Linked DNA regions of Alligator mississippiensis. The protein of the gene in region 1 binds, or shares a complex with, the protein of each later gene. Links are inferred from orthologs where the notes say so. Each region holds a gene or a part of one and is shown on either strand. Other genes may lie near its edges. The genes, in order: AAR2 and CD2BP2.

The links.
Region 2: AAR2 (region 1) and CD2BP2 share a complex: the UniProt entries of both Homo sapiens proteins name them as parts of the U5 snRNP complex. The link is inferred for Alligator mississippiensis from reciprocal best matches to the Homo sapiens genes AAR2 and CD2BP2.

The regions. Positions count from the first base shown.
Region 1 is NC_081832.1:22,954,022-22,969,926, forward strand, and holds the start of AAR2 (protein AAR2 homolog), read left to right. Parts: upstream 1-7,192; 5' UTR 7,193-7,223; coding exon 7,224-7,965; intron 7,966-10,426; coding exon 10,427-10,656; intron 10,657-15,905. Other genes in the region: EPB41L1 (band 4.1-like protein 1), read left to right, coding at 1-60, 2,601-2,609. UniProt on the Homo sapiens protein: Component of the U5 snRNP complex that is required for spliceosome assembly and for pre-mRNA splicing.
Region 2 is NC_081830.1:654,010-669,538, reverse strand, and holds CD2BP2 (CD2 antigen cytoplasmic tail-binding protein 2), read left to right. Parts: upstream 1-8,687; 5' UTR 8,688-8,867; intron 8,868-8,953; exon of another isoform or gene 8,954-9,194; intron 9,195-9,213; exon of another isoform or gene 9,214-9,309; intron 9,310-9,420; exon of another isoform or gene 9,421-9,533; intron 9,534-9,649; 5' UTR 9,650-9,663; coding exon 9,664-9,738; intron 9,739-9,865; coding exon 9,866-9,992; intron 9,993-10,329; coding exon 10,330-10,487; intron 10,488-10,739; coding exon 10,740-11,268; intron 11,269-11,351; coding exon 11,352-11,467; intron 11,468-13,352; coding exon 13,353-13,463; 3' UTR 13,464-13,565; downstream 13,566-15,529. Other genes in the region: TBC1D10B (TBC1 domain family member 10B), read left to right, coding at 889-988, 1,284-1,391, 1,469-1,575, 1,920-2,034, 2,185-2,250, 2,447-2,636, 2,865-3,019, 4,780-5,391; BICDL2 (BICD family-like cargo adapter 2), read left to right, coding at 14,866-15,529. UniProt on the Homo sapiens protein: Involved in pre-mRNA splicing as component of the U5 snRNP complex that is involved in spliceosome assembly.

The DNA.
Region 1 (15,905 bases):
AAAGCTGTGGTATATAGAGAAACAGAGCCTTCACCAGAGGAAAGGGACAAGAAGCCTCAGGTATGTACAGAAGTTCCAAGGTAGAGCACCTATCACATGGTCACGCACGCACACGCACACACACGCATACACACATGTGCACATGCACACACCCCCCCCCTGAGGTGACAACATATATAGAATGTCCTTCATCATCCTCCATAGGTTCAGTATACCAGTATCAGTAAATAGTTTGAGTTGGGACTTGAGAGATGCCAGTAAAGGCCAGGAACTCCTCTTAGTCATGGTGATGGAACAGACAGATTGCCTGTTGTTACAGTAGATAATAGCATAACTAAATACTATATGCTTTCTGAAAGGCCTCTCCTACAGCAGTCAGGGAGATATTCCTGTAGGATAATTATTCCGCCAGCTTGCAAAACAGCTGTATGAGCAGCACCTCAGTGCTTAATGTTCTTAATCCAGGTTTGTCACAGGGACCATTACAAAGGGCCATATTGCATTTTAGCTCCCTTGTTTGTGTAAAGCCTTTCTTAGGGACCTCTGTCACTTTTTCAATAGCTTACTTCCTCAGTGTACAGTACTTTATTCATCTTCCTTCCTGAACACCACAGGATGTCTTTTCAAAGGGCCTACAAAATGGCCACACTTGTGACTGAACTCATAAGTGCAGATGGATCTTTATGTTTGCTGGAAAGAACTAGCCTGCTCAGACAAATGGTGATGGCATGTCTGGTCACCAGTTCAAATTCAGCCCAATCTGACAGTGACCAAAGGTTGCTTCCACCTGATCACTATTAGAAAGCCTACCACTACAGTGAGTCCCGTTATTGGTAATGTCAGCAGAGAGGCCAGAGACTGATTATAGAGCTTGAAGAACATTCTCATTCTTACAAGGTCCTTCTAGGGGCTAGGGATAAGCCAGCTTGGTGGATGGGGTTGTTGCAGGAAGCTTATTCTGCTACCTGACTTTGTGGATAAACTGAGGAGTTCACTCCCCAGATTCTGCCAGCACGGGACAAATCACAAGAGCTACATTTGCAAGAAGCAGTTATTTAATACCTCCTCAAGTTCCCAAGTTCACTTCTGTATAACTGTCCATTTGTCAGTACAAATGCGCATTGTTTGCACATGCAATCTTGTGAACTCGCACTTAAGTCCAGGTGCATTTCTAGAGGCTTCTTGAAAATCTGGCTCCATTTTCCTTTTCTACATGATCTAGATAGTCTTGGCTTAAATGTCAGGGCTGGAGAATGGCAGTTTGAAAAACGAGTTTCGTTAAGGTTTTCTTGCATAGTCATTCCTTAAACAGGACTTCTTAATTGGATAAATGAAACTGACAGAATCTAAATGGAGCACTATACCTAGACATAATGGGCAAACTCTAACCATGGTGCAACTGTCAGCTTCAGAAGACAGTAATCTCAAACAAACTTGTTTACATTGGACAGATAGTAGAGCTATCTAGAGTCCAGATCTGTTACATTTTTTAGTATTGTTTTTCTCAGGTCACATCAGATTAGCTTTCAGGAAACAGAAGCTGCAAGAAAAGAGCAGCACTGAGCCAGCAAAGGTCATAAGGAGCTCAAACAGGAAAAACAAGATAATCAGAGGGCGTGTCCACGTGACATGCTGACTGAACAGTAGCCAAATAATACTGCGCAGTAGTGCGTCACACGAACGGTGCTAATATGTTACTACAAAGTATTATTAGGTTACTGCACAATAATGTCACTTAAAAGACATTTGCCAGCACTACTGCACAGTAACTCCAGTTACTGCGCGTTTATTTAGTACTTGCTAATACAGGTACCCAATAAATGCACAGAAACAACTGCACAGTAGCATCTTGCGTAGACATGCCCTGGAGAAAACGGGGATGCAGCAGCACCATGATGACAGTAAAGAAAGACCAAGACTGCACTGAAGGAAGGCTGTAAAAGCTGGGTCCCTGCCATAAAGTGCTGAGCTGAGTGCTCATGTTGTCCCTAAGCACATTGGGCCAGATCCTGTCCTTAGCCATGGTCCGATGCTGCAAGGCACCATTTGCCCTCAACTCCCATTTGCCCTCAACTGATTTCAGAGACTAGAAGGCCAGAGGGATTGTTCTGATTCTCTAATCTAGGAGCAGTAGGTCATCATAATGCAGCACGGTTGAGGCAGGCCAGCACTTCTGACCTGGCTGCTGCCAAGTGCTGCAGAATTTCCCCAACAGCAGGGAAGCCCTGTCTCCAAATTTATGTACTGCAGAAATGCTGCTGATATCCAGGCTTCATGGACTGGATGGAGTTCTTGGCTGGCTGAATCCATCCTGTGGGCCATAGGTTGCCAGCCTCTGTTCTAATCTTACCTCCTGCATAACGCAGAACAGGCAAAGTCACTCAGTAGTTTCAATGGCACCTTGCAGAATCACGCTTTTACATCATTTGAATTCAGTTGTGGGGTACCAATGGAATGGAGAATGAAATATGGCCCTGTATGTTTCGAGCAACATTGTTTAGTGTTTTAATATAAGCAAGAACCTTTTAATAGACCAGTAAATTATATTGACCAAATAAGAAAGGAAATACTCCATGATCGTTTACATCTGCTTTGTACAGGAATCTTGACCTCCACGTTCACCGACATTGGCATCTCTATTCAAACAAAGCTGGAGAACAGTGAAGAAGGGGCCTTCATGCTGGATTTGTCAACAAGACAGACATCCTGGCTGCAACCTTAATGGCGAGAGACAAAAAAAAAAAAAAAAAAGGAATAGCGAATATATATTATATATATATATATATATAAATATATATATACACACACACAAGAAACAAAACGCATCCTTGCACTGCTGCTATATGCTGGAGATGAGATGAATTACAAACAGCAACATCAATAACAGCAAAACCAACCGCCTCTTTTAGCCTTTGCGGAGAAAGTGATGAATTTGACTGGACTGATAAGAAAAATCATGATAATAATAATCTTATTAATACAACAAACCGCCATTTTGCATGTTCCATTTAAAGGATACACAGATCATGGGGTCATTTGTTGCACACTGAATGGAAAGGAAAGATGCTTTGCAACAAAGCAAGAAACAAACAAACAAACAAAAGAAACCAAGCGGAAACAAAACTATTCCCCACCTAAGGAAAGAAGAGAGAGAACCATTGAACTGTTTTGATTCTTTCATGATTATTTTTTGCATTTGGGATGTGTGGCAACCACCTCTCTTCCCCATTCCATGCTGGTTCTATTGCATCATTTTTCAGTTGTTATGCTCCTCCCCAACCTCCCTTCCCTTTCCTCTGTCCCTTTATCCGAGCTCTTTTTCCGAAGGTATTTAAGAATGGATCTAATTTGAAACAAAACAAAAACAAATATATGTATATGGTTTTTCATTTATAAAGATGCAGCCTGTAAGGGTTTCATATGGATGTGCTTTTAAGTTATGTATATTATATATAACAAGGGGGGTGGGGAACTGAGGGGTGGGAAACAATATTAAAATAATTAAACAGTGCTGGTAAATATGATGATGACATTTTTAAGTTATAATTATTTGATTGACTGTGGTTGATGTATTACAAGAATCTTAGATCACACTGACATCCCGCAGGAAGAGGATGGGGAACATTTCATTAACCACTGCTCGCTGTGGGGTGGAGAGGAATGTTGCATTTGTCACTGAGTGATCAGCTCTGTGGCAGGAGGAATTGATGTAGTGATACAGTATATGTTTGTAATTGGTTGGTTGGTGACAAAGGAGTTCTTGGTAATGTAAAGAGGCGAGGGCCTGGGAAAGAAGGAATGGACAGTTATAACCACAGCCCAGTTAGCATCACCAAAATGCACCAGTCAGCAATGTCTCACCAGCCCCCCCAACAAAAAGATGCTTCCCACCTTTAGGAGTCCTTGACACCCCCCCCGATCTGGAGTCCCCACAGCAGTAGAGAGATCATGTCATACTCCTCAGCGATGTCTTAAAAACCAGGACCAAAGTCTGAGTTACAGATCCATTCCCACACCCTACACCTACTGAAGCAGGACACTTGCATAGCTGCATTTCTGAACCCTGGTCTTGATCTAGCTCAAGTGAAGTTGAAGTGGTGTGTTTCAGATAAGCAAGAGGGTATTTCTGCTCTGCTTGGCTTTGAAGCAGGCTGCACACCTGGTTTCTGCTAAGGTGACCATAGGCGTTATGACAGCTCTCATGAGGGGAGCTGATACACAGCAATCTCCATCCTTTACCTCTTTGGTACTGTTCTACCACAGCCTTGCCTAGAGTATACTCCTATCTGCTGGCAGTTGAGAAGGTGACTGTGTGTTACAAAGATGTGTGAGTGCAAAGCTTAGTAGATTAGCAAGGCTGAGTAGCCTTGTCCAGTCAGCCAACACTGAGAGGCAGTTGCTGATGATGCACCAGTGTCCAGTGAGGCTGCTTTCCTCTCTATTGGTCAGACTTTTGCACCTAGATGAAGGTTTCCATCACTGGTACACTTGGAATGGGGATTATGGGTGCCAGCTCAAGCCTCATATACTGTCAACCAAGCAGTTAGGGCAAACTCAGAACCAAAAAAAACAACAAAACAAAAAAAAATCAACTGATTTCCAGAGAAATTGTCCCAAGCTCCTCAAGTTACAGAAGGGCCCATAAATATTGCACCATTTTTGCCTTTTTTCACAGACCACAAACATAAAGAGACCTTACACCAGGTAGAAAACTCTTCTAAATGATTCTTGTGATGGGATCAGAGGGTTGTATTGAAAAGGGATCAGTAGAATAATTAGGATTAAGTGGACGTACCCATCTGATCAATCTGCTGCCACAGCAGAGAACTTCGGGCCTCTGGTGGATCTTGGTCCTTCCATTTGCCTTCTACTATGTCCCCACAAAGTCTGTTCTCCTTTTGGCACATCAGTTTCTCCCATAAGCATTAATGGCATGAGCACAGCCTCCCTGATAAAAGAATTGATTCCTTTGCTTCTGCCAACAAAGTTTGTGTCAGATTTCCAATGAATCCAAATGTGTATTTTTTCTCCCAGGATTCTCCACCTTATCACCCGATGCTGCTTTAGGGAACTGTGCCCACCAACATCAAAAAGAGACTGAGCCTTTGCACAGCAACCCACATGTGAACTAGCTACATAAAGCACTTGTGCTTTTGGGAAGAGAAGCCAAACTCCAGGAGATCTGTTCCCACAGCTGTGCAAAATATTAGGCATGTTTCTCCCATTGGCATGCTAGGGTGTGTCCCAGCGCAATAGTTTTTTTCAATACATCCTGCATTTCAAACCAAAGAGCAGCTGGTGCAAACTTGAGACCACTGACTTTTGAATAAGAGGCTACTCAAACTCTTCGTGCCTGATTCTGGTCTCTCATGATGGTTTAAAATTTGGAGCAACTTCATGAGCATCAGTGGAGTTACACTGCTGTAAAACCTAAGTAGGAGAATTGCACTCAGCCCCTACATGTTCAGATTTTTAAAACTGAATCCAGTTCTCTGGATTCTTCAACCCAACGTATCTGATGGGTGACAATGAAAAAAGTGGGGGAAAAAAGTGGAGTCTTTTGCTCACCTGGCAAAGTATGGATTTTATATATACAGAATATTTATTCTTTGTGATCATATTTGAAGCCAGGTGCCCCTTGAAAGTTTTGGCTTTCTTCTGCCTTGTTCATTACTGTTGCTGATATTTAAGGTAGCTGATCACTCTTTTTCTTTCATCTGGGGGCCTTTCCATCGAAGGAGGTGGGAGACGTGAGTGCCTGTTCATACCTAGTCCCACAAGTTCATTCCAGAATTGGCCTGCAATTGCATGAGTACTAATAATAATAATAATATTTATTTTTATTTGAAAAGCACCTTACCAACCAACTGCAATGCTCTGCCATTCCTTCACTAATTCCCCTTTCCTCTTCCCTGGTTCCTCTTCTCTCCTCCACTCCCTTCAATCATATCCCTTTCAGTGCTTGGTGATGTATGCGTGTGTGCTCACTGTTCTTGTATTCAATAAAAGTGAAATAAATGTGTTTGATGCTGAACCAGCTTGTGACCTGAAGCTGACTTTTCTCTGAGCAAAGCAGTGGCAGTTACTACCCTTAGGAGCAGAGACTCCTCAGGGTGACAGTATGCCCAGAGGCAGCTGGGTCTCCCACAGCTGGCTGTGATGAGGACGCCGAGCAAGGACCATACATTGTGGGTTGGGCAGAGCTGCCCAGGTTCTCATCCAGGAGCCTACCTAGTGCAGAGATCCAGTTGAGAAGAGGAAGGATGGGAGGTCATGCTGTCCTGCCAAACTTCACCCACAAAATACGTTTCATAGATTCATAGGCTACGTTCCACCCTTGCAAGCCACCGAAAGGGAACCCTGCTCACAGCAGGCTGTAGATGTTCAGAGCATGAAAGTACGTGCTGTCCTGGTGTCTCTGCATTGCTGGGACCTACTCCTGAATACATGTCGGTCCTGTTAGGTGTTTGGGGGCTTGGTTTCTTTTTGATGGGGAATCTTCAAATGTCTATCATTTGTGGCACTGAAATGACGTGGGGATAAAGGCAGGCTGGGAGGCAGAGCTTGGATGGGAAATACTGGGGGAACTTGGAGAGGAGGAAGAGTCTGCCATGAACTGCCATCCATGTGGGTGTCCCTGAAGGGTTTCTTTGTGGGAGAAGGGCAAGTCTTGTCCCTAATGCTCCCCTGGCTGAGGACAAGGACATGGTGGGAAACCCTAAGAGGATTTATAACCCAGGCAAGGATACATCATCAATTATACACCACAATCACGTTGAAGCATTATTGCGGAGACGGTTGCATGTTCTTGAGGGAAAGCAATGCCCACAAACAGGCATTCAGTGGCCCCATGAAACGAGCGGGGGCTCCCACGCTGCCTCCTCGGGGACGGGCGCACTGAGCCCTTGCAATTCACCCGGGGCTGACAGCTTCGCTAACGGAGCAGCGCGGGGCTGGGGGGCAAAGAGTAACATGGACTCGCCCTTTCAGCCCCATTCCTCCGGGCCGTCGTGGACAACATTGCCAGCGCGCCCGGGGCAGGCTGTGACGCGCCCCCGGTGGCGAGGCCCGGGCCACCGCCGTGTCGCCGGGAGACCGAGCCCGGCCCTTCCCGCGCGGCCGCAGGAGCCGCCCGGTGCTTTCGCGGCCGGACCCGCCGGAAGTCGCCGGCTCAGCGGAAGCCGGGGGCTCGCTTCCGTGCGTGAGTGCGTGCGGAGCCGGGCATGGAGGCGGAGCGGGCGCGGCGGCTGTTCGCGGAGGGCGCGGCAGTGGTGGTGCTGGGGGTGCCGGAGGGGACGCAGCTCGGCGTGGACTACAAGACGTGGAGCGTGGGGCCCCGCTTCCGCGGCATTAAGATGATCCCCCCGGGCGTCCACTTCTTCCACTACAGCTCCGTGGACCGCCGCGACGCCGGCGCCTCGGGGCCGCGCACCGGCTTCTTCCTCAGCCTGCGGCGCCGCGACCTGCGCGTGCTGCGCTGGGACCCGGCCACGGAGCTGGTCGACCTGAGCCCGGCGCCCGCGGAGCAGAGCGAGGCGATCCGGGCCAACCTGCTGGAGATGGACCCGTTCCTGGGCCCCTACCCCTACGACACGCTCAAGAAGTGGGTGTCGCTCAGCAGCTGCATCAGCGAGGCGGTGATGCAGACGCTGCAGCCCGAGAGCGGCCAGGTCTGCGCCTTCTCCGAGGTGCTGCCGGTGCTGGCGGGGACGCACGCCAAGGACCGGGCTGAGCAGAACCGGCCGCCCTACGACACCGAGTGCAAGAGCTATGCCGAGGGCCTGGCCCGGCTGCCCGAGATGAAGCCCAAAGCGGGCACCGAGATTCGGTTCACGGAGGTGCCGACGCAGATGTACCCCGACGGCGCGACCCCTGAGGAAATCACCAGGCACAACATGGATCTCAGCTACGCTCTGGAAACCGTCATAAACAAGCGATACTCCAGCAAACCTGAGGATGTGCTGGGTGAGTGAGAGAGTTTCCCGTAACTAACTCTTTGCCAGCATGAGCAGCGGAGGGGGGGGGGATGTCCCCCTGTACCTGTTGTGCCAGGAACTCAGCCTGTGGCTTTGTCGGGGAATCACTGGGCCCAGGGGCTGGCACTCTTTCAAAGCGGTGGCAGCAGGCTGGGTGCTTGCAAACTGTGCCAGTCCCCTGTCCCTGCTGCTGCAATCCCTCCTTGCTCTGCGCCCCCACACGCTTACTGTCTGCTGCTGAAAGCCATGAAAAATGCCAGTGAGGAGCCGGCAGACAAGGTTCTTTGGGTGAATGTGATATCTTTTATTAGACCAACTTAAATAGTTGGAAAACTTTTTATCAGTGAGCTTTCGGGTTTAAAAACTCTTCTTCAGGCTGAGGAAGCACCTGCAGTTTGTATGCACTCTTCCTGGATGGAAGGAATAGTAAAGAGGCCAGAGGCTGATCTGCAGGCAAGACAGATAGTCAATGAAAATGTAAATTGAGGAGTCAGTGGGGGGGGGAATGAATGAATGTAGCAGGTAAATAGTAGAGAGGCGTTTGGGGAGTCGGAAGTCAAGTAGGTTATAATGTGTCATAAATCCAATGTTTATATTTAGTCTGTGCTTTTTGTAAATAGGAGGTTGATGAAGTAAAGTTCACAGGTTCATCTGTGAAAAGTGTTTTGTAAATTCCCTTTGAGGATTAGAACCGAGGAGCCGCAAATTCAGCAGTGAGGGCACAGAGCAGGAAGCTATAAGCAGCTATCTAAATGTGGTCTCTTTAAATCACCACTTTAATGCAGTCCATTTTCATCTGCATAATAGCTTGAATATGGTAGCTTTTCATCTCTTGTGTTCAAACAGCAGAGGCTGAAAGACTTGGGAATAAGTGATGCTTGTGCACTGCTGGTGACCTCTTCTGGTAGGATTTGGGGGTTGTGCAGAAAGCTTTGAGTAAATACTGTACAGAACAATGTATCATACATTATTTAGCGACACATTAGAAATTGCCAGCTGGTGTCCCTCAGTGGCAGTGCTTTAATTACCTGCTAATTCCAGTGGAAACAATGATAAATCCTTGTTGTATCAGAAGTTGTTTGAATATTCTTTCCTTGGTGGCATTGTATGAGGACTGTGAAACCAAGCAGGGACGGCATTGTTATCCTTTGGATAAATCCCTAAATGATGAAATATCAATTTTCATTTCTACCTAGGAGAACTTTTACTATCTTTGCAATCTCCTATGCCTAGCGAAGGGTGCCTGTGCCCAGAAGCTTGCAAATAAAGAATTTTTTTTGCAAATATCTAGTTGGTCTAATAAAAGATACCACCTCTGCCACAAATTTTGATTCCTTTTGCCTCTAGACCAATATGGCTACAACCTGGATACCTCCCTAGATGGTTGATATTTCATATCAATTTCTTGTTTCTTCTTTTTTCCTGTTAATTTTCTGCCTTTATGAATCATAGTGTGGAATGTTCTAGGACAGGGGCTGCTGATCTGTGGCCTGTGAAGCTGTGGCTGTGGCGGAGGAACAGCTCTGCTCACACAGCACTGCAGTAGGGCACTGAGGACTTTGGTGAGGGGGAGCTTTCCCTGTGCCACAGCAGGATGGCAGGGAAAAGTGGTAGATGCAGCCAGGTCCTAGTGCCAGCCCAGCTTAGCCCTGAACTGGGTCACTCTGGCTCTTTGCCAGCAAATGTTGGCAACTCCTATTCTAAAAAAAAGCTAGTTTACTTGCAAGTTAATTGTTTCTCGTAAAGCACTGGATAGTGTTAGATGTTGATAATTCTCACAAACAAGACGAGTCTAAACATTGGGCAATTTTTAATTTTGATCAGGAGTAGTACACAGTATACTGCTCACGTTAGTTATGCTGTACATATTAGTTATCGTTTTCTTGTTTTGATTGTCTGGCTCATCTGGCGGTACCCACACCATATTGTAGTTACAGTAGCAGCCTCGTTTGTCCTGTTGCCCTCCTTGGAAGCACAGGCTTTGGAAAGCCAAGAGGATAGGGATCACAGGAGGATGTAATGCCTCCATTTTTGTAGTGTGATAATTGTAGGTAACAGCGTTTTATAACAATAAAACAGACAATACCATATCCAAGTGTCTGGAAGTCACTTCACAGCAACGTTACTCTCTGATTCTATTTGATGATAAAGTGGCTCTCCACAGTAAACGGCTGTGCTAAACATGTCCTTTTTTGATTGCAGTATGCTTGTTTCCTAGTCACATAACAAAGGAGTGGGAAGCAATCAATGTCTGAAGGACTGACAATTGTTACTGTAGCACAACCATTGGGATCAGAAGAATCTCTTTGTGTGCTGGAAAAAGGCCAACCTTACTAGTGTATGCACAAATCTGCATAGCTGTCAAGGGCTGCATGTGCCTCTTTCACTTTGATTCACTGACTAAAGTCCTTTTCTGTCTCTTTTTTTTTTTCTCGGTGGGGCATTTCCAGGTGAATTGCAGTTTGCTTTCATCTGTTTCCTGATTGGGAATGTGTATGATGCGTTTGAGCACTGGAAAAAGCTCCTGAATCTCTTGTGCAGGTCAGAGGATGCCATAGGGAAGTATCAAGTTCTCTACACCAGCCTCATTTCTGTCCTGTACCACCAGCTCAGTGAAATCCCACCGGACTTCTTTGTGGACATAGTTTCCCAGGATAACTTCTTAACTAGCACTCTACAGGTAAGTCCACCCTCTGCAGAAAAACAGTAGTATGAAAAAATCTCACGAGAATGAGGATGGAAACATAACATGGGATGAAATTCAGATGAGGCTGGGGATGTAGATTGGGGTGGGATTCACTGCCTTTCACTTCATGTGAAATGGTATGCATGAAGGTCTGAGGGCACACCTACACTGATGTTCAAGGGGTTTCCTTCATTCCTTCATCCAGCGCTAGGTACTTGAACTTCCCTTTCCCATCTCTGCTTTACCTCAAAGCCTACAACTAAGACTTCCATGCTTCTTGTACATTGTTCCAAAAACACTCCAGAGTGGGATGTCCTAGAAGTAAGGCTGCTTTTCCCTCAGCTCTGAAGTTTAGAAGGGGTTTAGGTGTCAGCTGGACTACCATCCACTGCTAAATAGGGATTTCCAGTATAAACTGTTGGGTTTGGGCTTCAAGGTGGCTCTAAAGTTGACCCTAACTACCAGTTTGGATACAGTCATAGATTCTCAATTAATTGCCTGTGTGCTATTTCTGCAATCACCCCACTTAAATCTCAAAGGGCTGAATGAGGTGTTACAGTCCTCTAATTTAAAAGGCTTATTACAAGGTGCCACATCTTGTTAGGGCTCATGGCCTTATGAGTGTGAAGTAAACATTCTGTGCCAGTGTAGCATATCCATTTTAGAGGTTGGTGCAGTATAACTCAATTAATTTAATTTCACAAGTGCAATTTCTTAAAAGAGGGAAGGTCTTACTAGCAGTGCAGAGATGGGTAGATTTGAGCAAGGGTAATTTAGTTCATCATAAAGAAGATCGGCTTTTGTGATAAGTAAAAGCCTGATGATACTAATTTTGATCATCTTAGATGGCAGGATGATATTGTATGTGAGGAAGTTGGAACGAAACCTTGTATGAGCTTAGAGCACTGGCAGTTTCAAATAGGAACCTTCCTCGCCCCCCTGGCATGAATTGAAGCTCAAAATAATTTGTTTCACTAGAATCCAATTGTTTGTCTTCTGAGAATTTAAAAATACTCCTGAAGAAAGAAGTCTGCAAAGAAGTCTATATTGATGCTGGGATAAGACCTCTAGGGTAGATGATTGCACCACCTCTGCGGGGCGGGAGCTTGTTCCATAGTCTGGACACCCTAGTTGTAAAGAAGTTTTTCCTAATGTTCAGCCTGAAACTATCTTCTAGGAGTTTGTGGCCATTATTTCTAGTTTTCCCCCAGGGCGCCCTGGTGAACAATTGTTCACTGAGCCCCTGATGTACGCCTCTGATATAGCAGTAAGCCGCAATCAGGTCCCCTCTCAGCCTTATTTTCTTTAGGCTGAAGAGTCTGAGATCCCTCACCCTCTCATATGGCTTGCTGCGCAAGTCCCTGATCATGCAGGTGGCCCTTCTCGGGACCCACTCACTCCTAATCCACAGCCCTTCTCTGGACCCCTCTCGGGCAACAGTGTCAAAAGCCTTGTTGATGTCAGGGTATATTACATCTGCTACCCTTCCCCATCCATGAAGCCCATCACCTTGCCTTAGAAGGCAATCACAGCGGTCAAGCATGACCGCTGTGGACGAATCCATGTTGATTGTTCCAGATCACCAGGGATCTGGGTTTTCCATTTGCTGTGGAAAAACCTGGATTCTCTCTTTTAAAGGAGAAAAAGGTAGAAAACTATGGCGTTCCCCTTGCAGGCTGGCAGTATTCCAGCCTGCAAGAGGCTGCTTGGGGCTAGGGGAATGCCAGGAGCAGGAGGAAGCTGATCACAGGCTGGGGGTACCACATGCACGTGTGCATGCACATGTGCATGTGGCAGCCAGGCAGCATGATGGAGAGCAGCTCCCGCAACTCCCTGCAGGTAAGTCTGTGGTGGGGTGGAGCATAGGCAATGCATCCAGGGGGGACATGGGGAGGGGCACATACCCCTCTAGATTTTTGAGCCCACAGCAGGCACATGGCCCAGCAGGCAAGACCTAGAGCAGGAGGGCAGAGCAGGGCAGTGAGACTTGTTGCTGCCACTGCCAGGACCCCTGCAACAGTCGTGCCACCAGCAGCATGAGGAGTAATGGAATGGGGGCGAGGAGTGGTGCTGCTCTCACCTCCTCCACCACCAGCCCCTCACATGCTGGGCCACAGCTCTACCCCAGAAGGGAGGTAGGGTGGGGGGCAGTGCAGGCAGTCTGATGGGAGTGGTGGTGGCTGGGCCACAGTGGCAGGGTAGAGCCACGGCCCAGCACACAAGCAGTGAGAGGACGTGAGGGCAGCACAGCTATCCCCCCGCCCCCAGCCTGTTACTCCTTGTGTTGCTAGTGGCACGGCAGCAAATCTCACTGCTCTGCCCTCCCATGCCTAGTCCCACCTGCTGGGCTATGGAGGCCCCCAGGGGAAGGCAGCAGAGCAGGGAGCCCTACAGCAGGCAGCCTGCAATCCCCCACGTCCCCATGGGCTCCACTCCAGCCATGCTGCCTGCAGGCAGGAGGAGGGACCCAGGCTCCATACTCCTCCCTCTGCTCCAGCTGCAGCAGCTGCCGCCTCCAGCACATGGCAGGTGGTGCTTCAGTGCTGCCAACCAGCTGCAGCTGGCACCTACAGGGCAGGGAGTGGGCAGGATGCAGCCACCAGGTCCCATAGCGCTGGCAGCTGGGGATGGGCAGGGGGGCAGGAGGCTGTGGGTTGGGAATGAGGGGTCCTGGCGGGGACGAGAGGGCTGCGGGTCAGGAGCACAAGCAAAGCTGGTGAGGCTGTGGCTTGGGACTGAGGGGCACTGGCATATCAGGGCTGTTCAGCACCACAAAGCAGTGGGGGGGACAGCTGCAGCTGGATCCGCATAGTGACGAGTGAAGGGGGCAGGGGTAACTTTCATTTTCTGTGATAAAAACACCAAAATCAAATGCCAAAATATATTGGTATTTAGAATTAATTTTATTATAATGATTGAGGCACTGGTAGGCTTCCAAATTGCTTTCATATTGTAAATATATCAGTTGAACACAATGCTTTATTAATATGTTTACAAATTTTTGTGAACTGAAAAAATTCAGATCAGGTCCATCACAATGGTTCAGTGATTGTGTCAAGAGTCTTTACTTTTTGTATGGAAACTTTTACTCAAGCATTTATTGCAGAGTTTAAGTAGATAACAGTGATATTAAGAGAGAACACAGCTTGGCCTTTTTCATACCCTAGCCTGAGTTTGCAGGATCATCAATTAAAAAAAAAAAATTTTTGACTTGTAAAGTTATATATTGGAGTTGAAAGTTCCTGAGAGGGATAACTGTAAATCCCAGTAACCTTATTTTTAGTCCTTTTTAACACTAGTCTCACTTCTTATAGGAGAGTTCTGTTAAAAAATACTTATTTACATAGAAACATTAAGTCATTTGAAGAGGCCACCCACAGAAGTTGGAAGTTTTTAAGAGCAAGTTAAACAGGTGCTTGACAGGGATGATCCTGCCTTGAGGGGGCTGGTCTCGATGACCTCCTGAGGTCTCTTCTTGATCTACTTTTCTATTATTCTAAAGAGGCAGTTTTACAGTAGACTGAGCAAGGAAGAAGCAAATAGCTATGTACAAAACAGTGAACTTTAGCCATTTGTTTTCTGAATTGTATCCTGCTATCTAAAGGTCTCCCTTGAATAAGAGGTTTCTTTTTCCCAAAGGAGTTTTCCCTGCAACTTAATCCTGTAATGACATTTTCTTTGGCTTAGAAAAGTACTGTCCAACTTCTTGGTGGCTGGGGGCTGCACCATTGGGTGCCACAGCTCCCACTCACCTCCCTGACTGCAGACTCCTCTATTGCTGCATGGGCAGGTGGCACCCCCTGCCCTCCCCTGAACACAGGTGGGCAGCTCCCTGCTCCCTCACCCATATACTCTCCTGTGTGGACAGATGGGAGGGTGCTTCCCCCCACTTCCTTGGCTGCAGGCTCTCCCACTTCGCAACACTGCAGGCTGTGCTGAGCTGTGCCACCCACCCTGCCTTGTCCCCTGAGCTGGGGGGCAGGCAGTGAAAGCCAGAGAAGGGAGGAGGAGCCAGAGTGATGAAGAAAATAGTGGCCAGAGGATCCCCCATGGCTGAAATTCAACCCCTTGTGGAGTGCCAGGTGGACATTCCTGGCTTATAACATCAGCCTTTTGCTGTAGAAGTGAATTCTGAGTCACAAATTCAGCATGGTGGTAGAATCGAGCAGGAGAGCTGGGCTCTGTTTGAAGGCCCTGATCAATCAGACACAGGTGCCGTAACTACCTGAAGTGCTAAAGGAAAACTGTGAATGTGTGAGAAGTTAATGATTTCTGTGATACTATTAAAAAACTTCCTCCCTAAAGGTTATTCCTGTTTGATGCTACCTATGCTCAAGGCTCTTGGGGGGAATGACTGTTGTACATGATTAGAAATTTGATTTCCAAACAGGGGACCCCCTTCACTTCTCTAGCTTCCAAGGCAGTTCTTTGGGTGAGAACTCTGCCTATCCATGAAGATGTTGATTCCCAACATTTCTGTGCTTTAATCCCATGCTACAACATTGAAAAATTCTAGTACACTCCTCTCATTGAGCCTTGTATGTAAGGAGCATGGTCAGGCCCCTCACCCTGTTCACTGGAATTAGAAGTCACACTTGGAGACATGCTGTGAGTTGTTAGTCATGCAGCAGGTAGTTCTTATTTGGGGTTGTTTCATCTGCCTACAGTAGCTGAAGTTTATTTTTTTTAAATATTTGTTACAGTAAGAAACCAAATATGCTGGCCAATAGGACATGCCAGGTGACGCACACTCTCTCCCCGACCTTCACCCCCCCCCACAAAAAAAAAAAGAAAACTGTCCCTATCCTTCTCTTACACAGTAATCTCATGGCCAGACCAGTTGCCCTTAAGGGAACCTTATTTTTATAGGTGTTTATGTTTGATTCTCTGATGTAAAGTGGGAGAGATGTTACGCATGTCTCTCTGCTGCCCAGCCCCTTCTGTTTTAGCTATAAACCATGGCATGAAAAGTGCTTGGTCTCAAGTGAATATAAGAGAATTTGATTTCGTCTTATAAGAAAGAAACAGGGACATAAGGCTTGAAGGTTCACAGTTCCGACTTTTGCAATGGTGCACATTCCTTCAGGCCAGCAACTATTTCTCATGGTTGCTGTCTGATTTCTGAGATTTGAATTTCAACATCTAGTTACTGAGCCAGCAGTTTCTTCCATTGTTATTTTTTTGTGACTGAGATTATCAAAAGCACCATAGTAAGTCACATAAGAGCACACATGCCATTTGCT
Region 2 (15,529 bases), on another chromosome or scaffold:
GCAGACGGGCTGGTGTGATTCACACTCCTTCCCCCCCACCCCCCGCATCCAGCCGCGTGGCTTTTTCCGTCTCTTTGGGGCCTCTTATCTTGTACTTCCTTCCCAGAGGACCCAGGCATCCCTCCCCGCCCCACCCCTACCCCACGCCACCCTAGGGAACCCAGGCATCTGGGCTGCCAGCCCCCCCCCCTTGCTCCCAGCAGTGGGTCTATGGGGCAGATGCTGGGTGGGGGGGAAGGGTGTCCCCTCCACCTCCTCCCCACTGTTCCTGAAATCCTCCCCCCACCCAGCACTTCCCATTTCTCAATGAAGCTGCCCCAATTGCTACTTCCTGTTTCCCCGGCAGCACTTCCTGTCTGCCTCGCCCTCCCCCACTGCCCTGTGGTCTTGCCCCCCCCTGCACCATTACCCCCTGGGGCCAGAGATCTGTGTTCTCCCCGTCCAACATCCCAGCATCCCCTGGGCCCCTATGAGAGCTGGTGGCTCAGGATTGGGACCCTCTGGTTGGGGACAGACCAGTACCCAAAGATGGGGGGCACAATTCAGGGTCAAGCCCCCACCCAGTACGCGCTCTGCTCCCAGGTGACCCAGGTGTCCGAGCTCCCAACACCCCCTGCTCCCACATTCCCCCACCGGGGAGAACCCAGGTGTCTGGGTTCCCATAACCCCCTGCTCTCACCCCCACCCCCCTCCCACCCTAGAGAACCCAGGCGTCTCGGCTCCTAGTATTAATTTTACTTCCAATGAGGTGGCAGCGGGTTGGTGGCGAGGGGCACAGCTGTCAGGGGGGTTGCGGGTTGGGAGTGAGGGGCACCGCTGTTGGGGAGGCTGTGGGTCGGGAATGAGGTGCCCCCAGGGGCAGGGTCTGACCCCCATCCCCCCCCTCAGAGAGAGTGCCCTCCCGGTGGACGTGGCCCGGCAGCGGGAACTCAAGTGGCTAGACATGTTTTCCCACTGGGACAAGTGGCTGTCGCGCCGGTTCCAGAAGGTGAGTGCACCCACTCTGGGGCTCCTGGGGGGCAGGAGCAGGGCATTCTGGGAGCCCGGATGCTTGGGTTCCCGGGGTGGGGAGAGGAGCTGGGCCAGAGTGGACAGATCCGGCTGCAGCGCAAGCGCAGCTTTCCTCTCCACTACTGGAGGGCTCCATCGCACTAATGGGACACTCTGGTGGCTCTTCCCTGCATCTCTGTGGTCTCCCCTTGGCCAAACAGGCCCCTAGAGGCTTCCGAGGACCCCCCAGTTGACCCCCCAGGGTCTCAATTTGCTCCATTGCCCCCTGCCAGGTGAAGCTGCGCTGCCGCAAGGGCATCCCGTCCTCGCTCCGCGCCAAGGCCTGGCAACTGCTGTCCAATAGCAAGGAGCTGCTGGAGCAGAACCCGGAGAAGTTTGAGGTAGGCCCTGCCCCCCTTTCTGTTGCCCCGCCCCCATGATACCCTGTTCCCTTGCTCCCATTTGCTCCCTGTTTTAGGAGCTGGAGCGGCAGCCTGGTGACCCCAAGTGGCTGGATGTCATCGAGAAGGACTTGCACCGCCAGTTCCCTTTCCATGAGATGTTCGCCGCCCGTGGGGGCCACGGGTGAGGGGCCTGGGTGCTTGGATTCCCTGAGTGGGTGGGAGCAGGGGGTCTGGGAGCCAGACGCCTGGGTTCCCTGGGAGATGGCACATGAGAGCAAAAATCTGGGTTCTTTGGGAAGATGGTAGGGGCTGGGGGGTGAGAGCAGGGGGTTCAGGGAGCCCAGACACCTGGGTTCTCTGGGGTGGGGGGGTAGGAGCAGGGGGTTCTGGGAGCCCAGTACCTGGGTTCTCTAGGAGCAGTGGGGGCCAGGAGGCCGGATACCTGGTTCCCCAGGGAGGGGGGGGAGGGCTGGCCCCTGCCCTTCCTGCTTGCGTCATGCCCTCTCCCATCCTCCCCCGGCCCAGGCAGCAGGACCTGTACCGCATCCTCAAGGCCTACACCGTGTACCGCCCCGATGAGGGCTACTGCCAGGCCCAGGCCCCTGTTGCCGCCGTGCTCCTCATGCATATGCCCGCAGAGGTGAGCTGCCCCCCCAACACCCCCCTGCCCCGCGTTCTCCAGGGCAGGGGTGGGGCTGGGAGCCTGGACACCTGGGTTCCCTCCCGCGCTGGTTGGACCAGCCGTTTTCCTGTCCCGGCACGTTGTCTCACCGCCCGTCTCTCCCCACAGCAAGCCTTCTGGTGCCTGGTGCAGATCTGCGAGAAGTACCTGCCTGGCTACTACAGCGCAGGCCTGGTGAGTGGTGCCTCTGCTCCCCCCCCACCCTGGAGAACCCAGGCGTCCGGGCTCCCAGCCTCTCTTGCTCCCACTCCCCAGATAACTCAGGCATCCAGGTTCTCTTTCTCTACATCTGGGGGGCACCATGGAGGTGGCAGCGTTCTGCCTCGGTGTGGGAACAGGATGTGACACGTCTCTGTTCCCCCCGGGACAGGAAGCGATCCAATTGGACGGGGAGATCTTCTTTGCCTTGCTGCGCCGCGCCTGCCCCATCGCCTACCGGCACCTCAAGAAGTTCAAAATTGACCCCATTCTGTACATGACCGAGTGGTTCATGTGTGTCTTCTCCCGCACTCTGCCCTGGAGCTCAGTGCTGCGCGTCTGGGACATGTTCTTCTGCGAGGGTGAGTCATTTCCCCCCCCGCCTCCCGGTCCCCTGCCCCACTGTGGGGCCTCTTGCTCCCAAGTCACCGCTGCTTCCCTACCACTGGGCCCCTCACTCCTGACCCACAGACCCCCCCCGGGCACCGGTGCCCCTCACTTGCGACCCACCACCACGGTCCCTGTTGTTTCCCCCAACCCATCTGTCTCCTGCCCTGTGGCCAACCACCTGCCTCCTCCCACCCCTCCAGGGGTCAAGATCATCTTCCGCGTGGGGCTGGTGCTGCTGCGCAGCACTCTGGGCTCGGTGGACAAGCTGCGCAGCTGCCAGGGCATGTACGAGACGATGGAGAAGCTGCGCAACCCTCCACTGCAGTGCCTGCAGGAGGAGGTGCTGGTGCACGAGGTCAGTCAGTCCGGCCCCTGGAGGGTGCTGCGAGGCTGGAGGTGGGGAACTGGGGGAAAGGGAGGGTTGCTAAGGGGTACTGGGCTGCAAGAGGGTGATTGGGTTGTAAGGGGTGTGGGGTCAGTAGGGGATTCTAGGATGTGGGGGGCATTGGCAGGGGCGGAGGGGAGGTAGTGATGGAGTGTGGGGGGAGCTGGGGTGTGGGGAGTTCGCTTGGGGATGCTGGGATGCAAGGGGTTGCTGTGGGGGATTACTGGGGGGGTTGGGATATAGGGGGTTGCTAATGGATGCCAGGATATGGGGGGTTGCTAGAGAATGCTGGGGTTTGCTAGGGAATGGTGGGATGCGGGGGGTTGCTACAGTATGCTGGGAAGCTTGGAGTTGCTAGGGGATGCTGGGATGTGGAGGGGTTGTGAAGGGATGTGAGAGGTTACTACAGGATGCAGGGATTTGCCAGGGGATGCTGGGATGTCGGGGGGTGGGGAACTAGGAGATGGGTAGCTAGGGGACTCTGGGATGTGGGAGAATTGTTAGAGGTTGGAGAGAGATTGCTAGGGGATGCTGGGAGTTGCTAGGGAATGCTGGCATGGGGTTGCTCGTGGATGCTGGGATGCGGGGGTCACTAGAGGATGCTTGGGCTTGCAAGGGAATGCTGGGATGGTGGGGTTTGCTAGGGGGTTCTGGGATGTGGGAGGAGTTGCTAGGGGATCGAGAGGGGTTGCTAGGGAATTATGGGATGCTGGGGGTTACGAGAGGATGGTGGGATGTGGGGGTGTTGCTAGGGGATATGGGGGTAGCTAGGGAAGTCTCAGATGAGGACTTGCTCGGGGCTGGAAGGGGGTCGGTAGGGGATGTTGGGGCTGGCTACCGGATTGGGCCCTGAAAAAACGGCAGATTTTTTGCTGAAAATTCGCGGTAAAGTATCGTTTTTTTATGGACTCTTCACGGGACCAGAACTTAGTAGACGGGTCCCAGCAGTTCCATGAAAAACGATACTTTACCCATGCTCGTATGGCCACCCAGCACACAGCCAGAGGCGGCGGGAGGCCAGGGGAGCTGGCTGCTACCACCTGCCCAGGAGCCCCATTCAGTCCTGCCCCTGCCTCGCTCCTTCCCTCCCTGTGACAGAAGTCGATATGCCTCCCATGCCCCTTTCCCTTCCCCTTCCCCAGCTTACCTTTTCTCATGGCCCTACTCATGGATGGTGGAATGTGGCGTGTCACTGGAGGATGCTGGGATGCGAGGGGTTGCTAGGGAACGATGGGGTGCTGGGAGTTGTTAGGGGAAGTTGGGATGGGGGGTTGGCTAGTGGATGGAGTGGGGTCGGAGGAAAGTTGCTAGGAGATGCTGAGATATGGGGGTTTGCTAATGGGGGCTTTGCTAGGGGCTGTGGGTGGTGTTGCTAGGGGATGCTGGGATGTGGAAGGGTTGCTAGGGGATACAGGAAGTAGCTAAGGGAGTCTGGGATGTGGGGGAGCTGCTAGGGGATGGAGGGGATTTGCTTGGGGATGCTGGAATACAGTGGTTTGCTAAGGGGTAGTAGCGGTTGTGGAGGGTGTTGCTAGGGGATGCTGGGACAGAAGGGGTTGCTACAGGGACTCATAAGGGATGCTGGCATACAGGGGTTTACTAAGGGGTACTGGGGCTCTGGGGAGTGTTAGGGGATGCTGGGATGACAGGGGTTGCTAGGGGACAAAAGGGGGCACTGGGGGCTGCTCAGATGCCCTTAGGACCCCCCATGATCCCTCCCTCCCCCCCAGGTGGTGAGCCTGCCGGTGACAGAGGCCCTGATCGAGCGGGAGAGTGGGGCCCAGCTCAAGAAGTGGCGGGAGACGCGGGGCGAGCTTCAGCACAAGCCCTCCCGGCGCCTGCACGGCTCACGCGCCATCCATGAGGAGCGCCACCGCCTCCACCCGCCCCCTGGCGCCAGCCCTGGCCTCCTTGGCCTGGCTTTCAAGCCCCGCCCCCAGCCACCTCGCCCCACCTTGGCACCCCTGGCTGCTGCTGCCGCACCCCCGGCCGCCTCAGGCCAGGTGGTCTCAGAGGGGCTGCACCCGGCCTTACCTTCCCCAACAGGCAACAACGCCCCCCTCGGGGGCCCCCACAAGGGGGCAGGGCCCCCCCAGCGGGACACAAAAGGGGTGGGCCCCGAGGACAAAAAGAAGCGCGAGAAGGAGGAGAAAGCCCGGCTGAAGCAGGAGAAGAAAAGGGAGAAAGAGCGGGAGAAGGAAGAGAAAAAGAGAGAGAAGAAGGAAAAGAAAGAGAAGAAGACTTCCTTCCGTCGCCGGGAGCCCCCGAAATCTGGGGGCGTGGTCCCGGAGGACGGGGAGCCCGGGGCAGGTGGATCCACGCTGCAGGACACTTACTTCTGAACTCTTCCCCTGCCCCCCGGGGATACAGGAGGGGCAGGAGGGGTGACGGACCAATTTTGGGGAGATCAGGGGCTGAGGAGACTCATGGGAAACCATTTTGGGGTCCCTCAGCTCCTGGCGGCCACCCATCCCCCAATGTTTTTCACCCCCTTGCTTCTCACTATGCCAAATGAGTCGTTTTCACTCCTCGTTGAACCAAGGTCATTCCCATCTTGCCCAGGATGGCTTCATTAACCAAGATGGTGTCCATCTGCTAACATGGCTCCTCAGCTTCTCTTCTTAGCCAAGATGGCTTCCCTCATCCAATAGGGCTCCTGCCTCATTAACCAAGATGGCTTCCCTCATTTAAGATGCCTTCTATCTCATCCAGGATGGCTTACCTACTCAGTCGAGATGGCTTCTCTTCTTCAATATGGCTACCATCTCATCCAGGATGGTTTTGTTAACCAGGATAACTTCCCTTATCCAATATGGCTCCTGGCTTCCCTACTCAACTGAGATGGCATCCCTCATCCAATATGGCTCCCGATTCAACCAGAATGACTTCATTAACCAAGGCAGCTCCCATCTCATCCAGAATGGTTTCCTTCCTCCAATGTGGCTCTCATTTCATCCAAGATGGCTTCTCTCATCCAATATGGCTCCCATCTCATCCAGAATGGCTTTCCTACTCAACCAAGATGGCGTCCGTTCTCCAGTTCAACATGGGTTCCCTCAGCCAATATGGCTCCCATCTTGTCCATCCTGGCTTCCCTGCTTACCCAAGATGGCTTCCCTGCCTCCAATAATGGTTCCATTTCATCTGGGATGGCTTGCTGCTTACCCAAGATGGCTTCCCTCCCTCTCTTTCCCCCAGGAGGGGGTCCCATCTGATCCAAAATGGCTCCCTCATCAACCAAGATGGCCGCCATCTCCTCCTCCCCACCAATGGGGAGGGGGGCGGAGGTCCAGGTACATCACCCCCTTTCCCGAAGGGCTACTGGGGCATTGCCCCACCCCCGCCCCAGTCTTAACGAGGAGATAATTGTATTAATAATAGTAACCCAATGAGGCCCCGCCCCTGTTTGTAAATAGGCCCCGCCTCCCTCCTTAAACTATTTAACCAGTTTCATCCCACCTCCTCCCCACAATCCCTAGCGACAGAACGCTCCTCCTTTGCACTGATATTGGCCCCCAGGGGTACCAATAAAGTTTTATTTGCCCCGTCCCTGAACCTGTTGTCTGCCAATGTGGCTCTCGATAAAGTTCATTGGTTCTTGAGGAAGGGGGCAGGGCCTGGCTGGGCAGCCTGCTGTTCACTGATTGGGCTCCCGATAAAGTTTGTCCATTCTCGTAGCGGGCGGGCTGGACTAGGCCCCCTTGTTCCCCAAGAGGGCGCTGGGCGAGGTTCATTGGGCGGCCGGCTCGAGACGTTTTGTCCGGCCTTGCGCTTCCGGATTGAACGTCAAGTGTTCTTGCCCGCCGACAGCATGCCCGCTGGCTTCCTCGTCGGGGGCGCTCTGTCAACGTGCTGCCCGCCGACGGTGCGTCCTCATTGGACGGTGAACTTTATCGCCTCCCGACAGCGCGTCCATCTGTACGCTTCCTGAGCGCCTCAGATGGTGTGCCCTCATTGGCTGAGGACTTTATTCCCCCTGTCCCCCTTGTTTGGGCGGGGAAGTTTCCCAACACTCCCTGTTCCCCAACAGCAGCCCTCCCCAGGAAGTTGGGGGTGGGCTTTATTGAGGCCTAGCTGCTGGCCAATGAGGAGCTTGCCCCTCCCCCAAAACGTAACTGGAAACCCTGCCCTCAGCTCTGGGAGCTCACCTGGCATGGTCACAGCTGTGAGAGGGGAGTGGGGGCTGATGGGATAGCTCAGGGCCTGGGAGGCCAGATGTCTGGGTTCTGTGCCCCTGCGTCCCATGTATATACGTGTCTTTACACATATATTATATATATGTCTCCATATTGTAATTATGTATACTCCGCCATGACTTAATTTAAAGGGACAGACACTGGAAGTCATTGACCTCACCCCCTTTGACCCCAATATCATTTGACCCCCGCCCCCGTGCCCCAGGCAGGCACATCAGGACACGCGATGTTTACATGATACGTCCTTTATTTCCTCTCCCCCCGCCTCGGAGATGTTCTGATTTTTATTTCTGCCCCCCCCATCCCTCCCCTTTCGTGCCTATTCTCCCATCCATTGGTTTATCTTTTTGTTCTGTCGCTTGGGTTTCAAAAGGTTCGTTAACAAAAAAACAAGGAAAAAAATACAAACGATATGAAAGAACCAATCTGCGAATTCAGTCTCTGTTCCACAGGGCGGGGGCAGAGACACCGATCCGGTGTGAGAGGGGTGGGGGGATGTCGGTTGGGTTGAGTGGAGGATGTGGGGTCTTGAAGGATGTTGGGTGGGGAGATGTTGGTTCTTCAAAGGCATTGGGGGCGGGGTCACCTGCAGAGCGGGGGAGGGGCTGGTCTGCTTGAAGGGGTGTTGGGGCTTCTGTGGTGTTGGCCACTGAGTTCCTGGTGCTAAAGTTGGGGTGACCACGGTTGGGTTTGGTGGGCCGGGGTTGGGCTGACCCAAGGTTGGCCTGGCCAGGAGACGCTGAGTCTTCAAGGGCATCGGGTGGCGGACAGTGCAGTTCCTTGGGGGGCGGGTGAGTCTCTTGAGTGTGGTTGGCTCTTTGAGGCCTGTGGGGTGGGGGGTCTAGAGTCACTGGGTCTTTCTGCGGGGGGGGCAGGAGCTCATTCAGCTCTGGTTCGGGGGTCTTTGGGTATGGGGTTAAGAAGGTGGGGACTGAGTCTGGGGGGCCACGAGGTGATGCTCTGGCAGCCTACTGGTGATGGTGCTGGAGATTGTGGGTCTGCGCTCCATGGGGAGGGGTTGGGGGACTGGGGGGGGGACAGGCAGAGCCAACCCTAGGCATGTGCAGGGCCCGGGGCATAGCAGCCTGTGCGGTGGGGGGTGGCACCCTCAGCACATGCTAATGGCGCTGTCTGCAGGCCCCCCTCCCCCCTCAAGGGGCAGGTCTTGAGTGGATACTTTGGGGTAATTGGTGGGTGGCAGGGCAGTATGTGTGGGATGGGGGGTCTGGGAGAATGGAGAAATGGTTGCACTGCCCCTTTAAGAGCTACTCGCGCTGCCGCCCTCCCTTGTTCCACCGGGCCCACTGCCAGGCCCTGATGTCACTTCCATTTGTTGCCCTCCAAAGAAAAGGCCCGCGGCCCCTTTAATTCCTGCTCACGCTTCCCCCTCCTATTGAAGCCAGAGAAGCAAACGCGCAGCGACGTCACTTCCTGTCCTGGCAGCGGCCGCACTCCTTGCCCCTCACCACTGAATAAATACGAATGAATAAATCGTCTACTGAAGAAATAAAAAACGGGATAGAAAAAGGGGGAGGGGCCGCACCCGGAAGCTGCTTCCTCCCGATATTTTTTCCAAGTCTCTTCCTAAAAATCAAAAACTTAAATTTCGAAATAATAATAAGGTAAAAAAAAGAAATGGGGGGCGGAATTAAAGAAAAGGGGCAGGGCGAATTTCGCTTGACGTCAGTTCCGGCCCGCACCCGAAAGTCGTATTCCCCCTTTAATATATACTTGGCCGGGGGCAGGAACCCCTCCAAGACCGGGTTTAAATCCCAGCAAGTAAAGATAATTCACGCGGGTGACGAAACCAATAAAAAGAGGCCGGCCTGAGCGTGTGACGTCACATCCGGGGATTCACACCCGGAAGTCGCCCATAAATAAGTTGTGGGCTTTTTTTAGTGTTTTCGAACAGTAAATCTGTTTAAATCCCTGAAACAGTAAATTCACTGGTGAGAAATGAAAAAAAGAAAAAAGCAGGGGGCTGGTCCGACGACGAGGCTTGAGGTCACTTCCGGGGTCAGGGGCTGGGCGACCCGGAAGTGCAGGCTGAGTGCGGAGTCCCGGGTGCGCGGGGCTCCTTTGTGGGGGGGGGGCGCTTGGAATGTTGGGGGCGCTCATTTGCATATGTGCGCGGCGGCGCGCGGGAGGGGCCTTTGGGGGTGTTTCCGGGGCATTTAGGGGCTCGGGGGGTCTTTGGAGGCCCTGGCACCCTCCGGGCTGGGTTGAGCGGGTGGCGGGGCACCCCCTGGCGGGGAGGCTTCCCGGCAGCCTCGCGTTCGCCCTGACCTGTGCGTGGGGCGGACAGGACCAAGAAGGGAGAGGGCTGGGGGAAGCAAGGGACTGCCCCCCCCCCCCCCCGGGGGAGGGGGTTGGGGCCGCCCCTCACCCCCATTCCTGCCCCCAGGGCTCTGGGCCGCCATGTCCAAGCGGAAGGTGACGTTCGAGGACCCGGACGACGACGACGACCTGGGGGGGCTGCCCAAGAAGCGTGGGGTGAGTGCGGGGGGGGGGGGGGGGCTCTGGGAGCCTGGGGCTGCGTCACCTCGTACTCAAGGTGGGGTGAAGTCCTGGAGGAAGGGGGCGGAGCTTGACGATGACCACGCCCCTTAACCGCACATAGGTGCAGGAGGCGGAGCCCGGCGGCCCCGGGAGCCGGTTCAAGGGGAAGCACTCATTGGACAGCGACGAGGAGGACGAGGATGAAGAAGCTGCCGGGGGCGGGATCTTGGCCCCGGAGGACGTGGAGGGTGAGTGGGGGTCAAGGGGCGGGGCTTGCGGGGTCAGGGGGCGGGGCCTGCACTGGTAGGCCGCAACCAGCAGCCAGAGGCTCCTCGCCTCTTGGTAGCTGGGGGCGGGACCTGTTGTGAAGGCTGTCCGTCACCGGTGGGTGGGCGGAGCCTAGTCTGGCGGCCCCTTACTAAGGACCGCAGGTGCAGTGGGTGGGTCTTCGTGGCTGTGGGCGGGGCCTGGGATGGTTATCCTGTGGGCGGGGCTTACCAGCGGCGCTGGATGCTGTCTATCACAGACGTGGGGGTATTGGGTGGGCTGGCGGGTGGGCGGAGCCTGAAGCCGCCCGTCACGCAGGCCAGGAGCCGGGCTCGGTGCTGGAGGAGGAGGGGGTGCGCTTCACGCCCTTCAACCTGCGGGAGGAGCTGGCCGAGGGCCACTTCGACGCCGCCGGCAACTACTTCCCCCGCGGCGACGACGGGCCCCCAGACGCCTGGCTCGACTCGCTCGACTGGGTGAGGCCTGGCATAGGAGTGGGAGACACTGCGGGGCAACGCAACGGCACTGGGAGGCATTGGGGAGAACTGGGATGGGAGGAGAGGGACACTGGGAGACACTGGGGTGGGAGGAGGGGGCTTTGTAGGGTACCGGGAGGAACTGGGACAGACTGGGATGGAAGATGGGGAGCCCGGGGAGAGGGGGTGGGAAGGTAGGAGGGAGGTCGCGGGCTGCGCTGGGCCCTGACCCTCCCCTCCCCTCCCCCGCAGGTGACTGTCAAGCCGCTGCCCGCCCGCCGCCGGGGGCAGTCCCAGCAGGGAGGGGGCAGCCCCGAAGCGGAGGGGACGGAGCCCGGCCGGGAATCCCCGCCCCTCCCAGACCCCCAGGCGGCGCTGGAGGGGCTGGTGGAGCTGGTGGGGCCGGGGGAGACGGTGGCTCGGGCCATCCAGCGCTTGGGCGGGGGCGGGGCCCGGCCCAGGGGGCGGGGGCGGGGCCGCGGGCGGGGCCGCGGGCGGGGGCGGGGCCGGCAGGCAGAGGTGGAGCCAGCACCGGAGCCAGAGCCGGAGCCAGAGCCGCCCGAGGAGGTCGAGAGGCGGGGCCGGCTGGAGCGGCTCTCGGGATTGGCCGACCTCATGGTGGCACGGGGCCACTACGGCGTCTACCAGGAGACGCGGGAGCGCCTGGCCCTCCGCCTCCGGGCCTTGGCCCCGCCCTCTGCCCAGGCCACGCCCACTGGCCCCACCCTCGACATGTTTGCTGAGGAGGTGGATGAGGCGGCTCTTCGAACCCAGGAGTCTGGTGAGCCTGGCGGGGCGGGGCGGGGCGGGGCAGGGGGCGTTGCCTGTGAGAGGGCGGGGCTGAGCTGTGCCCTCCTCCCGCAGGGGGCGGGGCCGTGGCCGTGGCGGAGGCGGCGCTGGACGAGGTGCTGTGGGAGTACAAGTGGGAGAACACGGCGGGGGCGGAGCTCTACGGGCCCTTCAGCAGCAGCCAGATGCAGGTGGGATGGCTCCGCCCCAGACTCAGCCGCATCCTGGCGGCCGCGCCCCACAGCCGCCCGCTGCATGTGACAGGCCGGGGGGCCCATGCTGGCAGCATACAGGGCGGGGAGGACCGCACTGGTGTTGCACACGTGTGGGGGGCCGTGTTGATGTGACGTGTGAGGGGAAGCCATGCTAGTGGGGGGCACCTCCATTGATGAGGCGCCTGTTGTGGGGAACGCGATGGAGGACCCGTATTGACGCGGCACCCGTAGTGGGGCCCCACATTGGCTTGTCATGCGGGTGGGGATGCGTGTTGATGCGGTGTGTGTTGAGAGGGACCCATGTCGGTGTGATACACGGGGATGACCTGTATTGGTGGACACATGGGAGGGACCATACGGGCCCGGAACAAGGGGGAACACCACATTGGTGCACGTGGTGGGTGGGGGAGCCATATTGGTGTGACGCGGCTAGACATGGGGGACCCTTATTAGTGTGACACGGGGGGGGGGGCCTTTGGGGGTGCCTTCCCCTAAATGGTCCCCCAACGTGGGCTCCCCCATGTGCGTTTGGATATGGGTCCCCCCAGTGTGTGTGTGTGTGTGTGTGTCCAATACAGTTCCTCCCGTGTCTCTTCAGTGTGGGTCCCCCCCTTACATGCATCCCTTTGTGTATCATCCCAATTTATGTTCCCGGGGGGTGTCCCCAGTATCATCCCCTCCCCGGTGTCCTCACTTTGGGCCCTGCCGTGTGTGTCTGTGTCTCATTGATATGGGTCCCTCTGTGTGTGTGTGGGGGGGGGGGTCTTCCTCCCTCCCTCCCCAGGGTGTGTCCGCAATATGGGTTTCCTCCATATGTTTGTGAGCGTGACCCCAAGATGGGTCCCCTCCCCACACGCATGTGTGTGTCCCCAATTAGGGCCCCCATATATGTGTGTGTGTGCCTGTCCACCCACCCCCAATTAGAACCCCCCATGTGTGTATGTGTGCTTGTCTCTGATATGGGTCTGTGTGTGTGTCCAATTAGGGCCCCCCATATATGTGTGTGTGTGTGTGCGCGTCCGTGTGTCTTACTGACATGGGTCCCTGTGTGTGTGTCCACCCCCATGTGCGTGTTCTCTATATGGGTTCCCACCGTGCATGCGTGCACACATTTCTCCCCAGTATCAGTTCTCTCATAGGTGTCTCCCTGATGTGCCCCCCCTCCCCCCCCATGGGTGTGTGTCCATATGTGTTTCCCCAATATGGATCTTCCTGTGTGTGTGTGTCTTCCCACTTTGGCCCCCCCATGTGTGTGTGTCTCCCCACGTGCATGTTGCACATGTCCCCCTGCATGTGTCTCCCCAATATGGGTCCCCTGTACGTGTGCATCTCTAGTGCAGGTCCCACCCAAGCGTGCATCACCCTGATATGGCGACGTCCCTGTGTGTGTGTGTCTCCCTGATACGAGTCCCTCTCTGTGTGCGTCACGGTAGTATGGGTCCCCTGTATGCGTGCATTTCCCTCGTGTGTGAGTTCCCCTTATATGGAGACGCCCCAGCTCCGTGTGTGGTTCTGGTGGGTCCTGCCCCATGCGTGTCACCCCTATATAAGTCTTCTGTGTGCACACATTGCCTCAACATGGTTCCCCCATACGTGCACCCCCATTTTCCATCCTGTCAGCGTGTGTGTCACTCTAATATGGGTCCCCCCATAACCATGTTGGTGCATCACATGATCTGTGCCCGTGTGTGTGACCCCCCTGCCCTACCCCAGAGCAGGCTGCAGCCTGGGGTGCCTGTCATGCCCAGCCCATGACACCCGCTGCCCCATAGCCAGCTGCATGGCGCCGTTCCACTCGTGCCCCCCCGCCTCAGCCACATCTCTCCCCCGACTCACCCCCTCGTCTCTCTCTCCCCCGCAGGAGTGGGTGTCCGAGGGCTACTTCGCGGACGGGGTTTACTGCCGGAAGTTGGACCCGCCGGGCGGGCAGTTTTACAGCTCCAAGCGCATCGACTTTGACCTCTATACGTGACCCCCGAGGCCCAGATTTTCAGGGCAGTCCCAGCCTGGAGACTTTGGGGGGAGGGATCTTTGTGTACACAGGTTTGGATTAAAAATGTCGTGTTTCACCCCAGAGCTGGCTGCCGCTCCGTTCTACCTGGCCTCTAGCTGCCCGCTCACAGCAGGGGAAGGCTCCCTAGAGCCAGCTGCATGGGGGCACCTATATAAGTGTAACGCGCGTGGGGGCAGGGGGGCTTGATTTTGGGGAGACCGCTGCATCATAGGAACCGTACATGGGGGGAACTTATATATATATGTATATATATGTGAGTGAGACACACGTATGTCTTTGTGGGGGTCCTAGTTTTAGGGAGACGCATAGCGTTGGGGGGGACCTATATAGGTGTGACACACGGGCCATCCTGATTTGGGGAGACAGCTGTATCATAGGAACTTCCTAGCACTGGGGGCACCCCCATAGGCATGACACATGTATGTGGAGGATTGCGGGGGGCTGTTTTTGAGGTGACGCACCCTGCATTGATGGGGCTGGTGTCCGAGGTCTTTCCAGAGAGACAGACGGGACAGACCCATGGGTGGGGGGGACCCCTTTTAGGGAGACACTGGAGGGGGCAGGTCAGCAGGCTGATACTGGGGTAATGCCCATAGCAGTAAGTGTCCAGGGGCTGGATTTTCAGGGGCTGGGAGCATATTGGTGTGACACCAACCAACCCACAGGGGACCCATATTTGTGTGACACACAGGAGGCAAAAGGTGCTGGGCTTTCTGCGGGGGGATCTATATTGGGGTGACACATGCATGGGGGGATATGAGTGTGACATGAGGGGGGGATGTGCAGTGGGGCAGCTCCCCCCTCCAGGGTGTGACACAGTAATAGTGGTTCGTGTGGGTGTCTGCTACCCCAGTAGCGGTTCCAGGGGTGTGTTACACCAATAAAAGTCCTCTGGTCACCCCAGGGGGACTGGGGTCACCCCAGTATGGTCTCCCCTTTTGGGTGGCACCCCAGTAGGGGTCCCCTGCATATCTCATACCCCAATAATAGTTGGTAGCGGTGCGTAACAAATGACAGTCCCCAGGGAGGTATGTGCCACCCCAATATGGGCCCCCGCCTTTGGGTGTGTCACCCCAATAGCAGTCCCCTGTGTGTCTGTTACCCCCATAAGGGTTCTCACGTGTGTCACACCGATTAGAGTCCCCCAGAGCTAGATCTGTGCCATTCTCAAAAAGGATCCCACCCCACGTGTCACCCCAGTATAGCCCCCACCCACCTGTGTCACCCCAACATGGGTTCCCTATGGTGTCACTTCATCACGAGTCTTCCTGTCACCCCCCGATATAGCTCCCATCGCGTGTCACCCCAGTACTGGTCACCCCACAATGGGTTCCCGTGATGGAGAGGGGTTGGGGACCCCATGGGGGGGGGGGGGGTCAGGAGGCTGCAGGGGGAGCAGGATTTGCTGTTCCCAGCGGCTGGAGCTGGGGTTTGGAGTGGCTCAGGTGTGCAGGGGGTGGGGCTTGGCGGTGGCCCTGCCCCCTCCGCACCTGGGGTTGGAATCGGGAAGTCAACAGCCTCCCTCCACCGCAGCTGCTGCAGGGAAGCCACGCGTCCAGCTCAGCTAAGCCCCCCGCCCCCCGTATCTCACCCCCCCAGCTGCCCCCTCCCCTATCAGCCAGGGGCAAACCCCAAGCTTCAAACCCCCCCCCCTCCCAGTCCGAAGAGCCCAGGCATCTGGGTCCCCTACCCCCCCCCCCCCCCCGGAAGGAACCCAGGTGTCCTACCCCCCCCCCCAATCCCCTCCCCATTGGTCAGGGAAGGAACCCAGGGGTCCGGGCACCCTACAGCCTCCCTCCCTCTCCCCCTCAGCCAGGTAGAACCCAGGCACCTGGCCCCGGCCCCCCTCCAAAGTCCGGGAAGGACCCCGGGCGTCTGGGCACCCCCTACCATGGCCTTGTGGGAGGATGGGGAGGAGGGGGGGGCGCCAGGGGGGGAGCCAGGGGGAGGGCCACGGCTCGCACGGGTGGAACGGGACCTGGCGCTGGCGGCAGAGCTGGGGCAGCTGCTGCTGGCGGCCAACG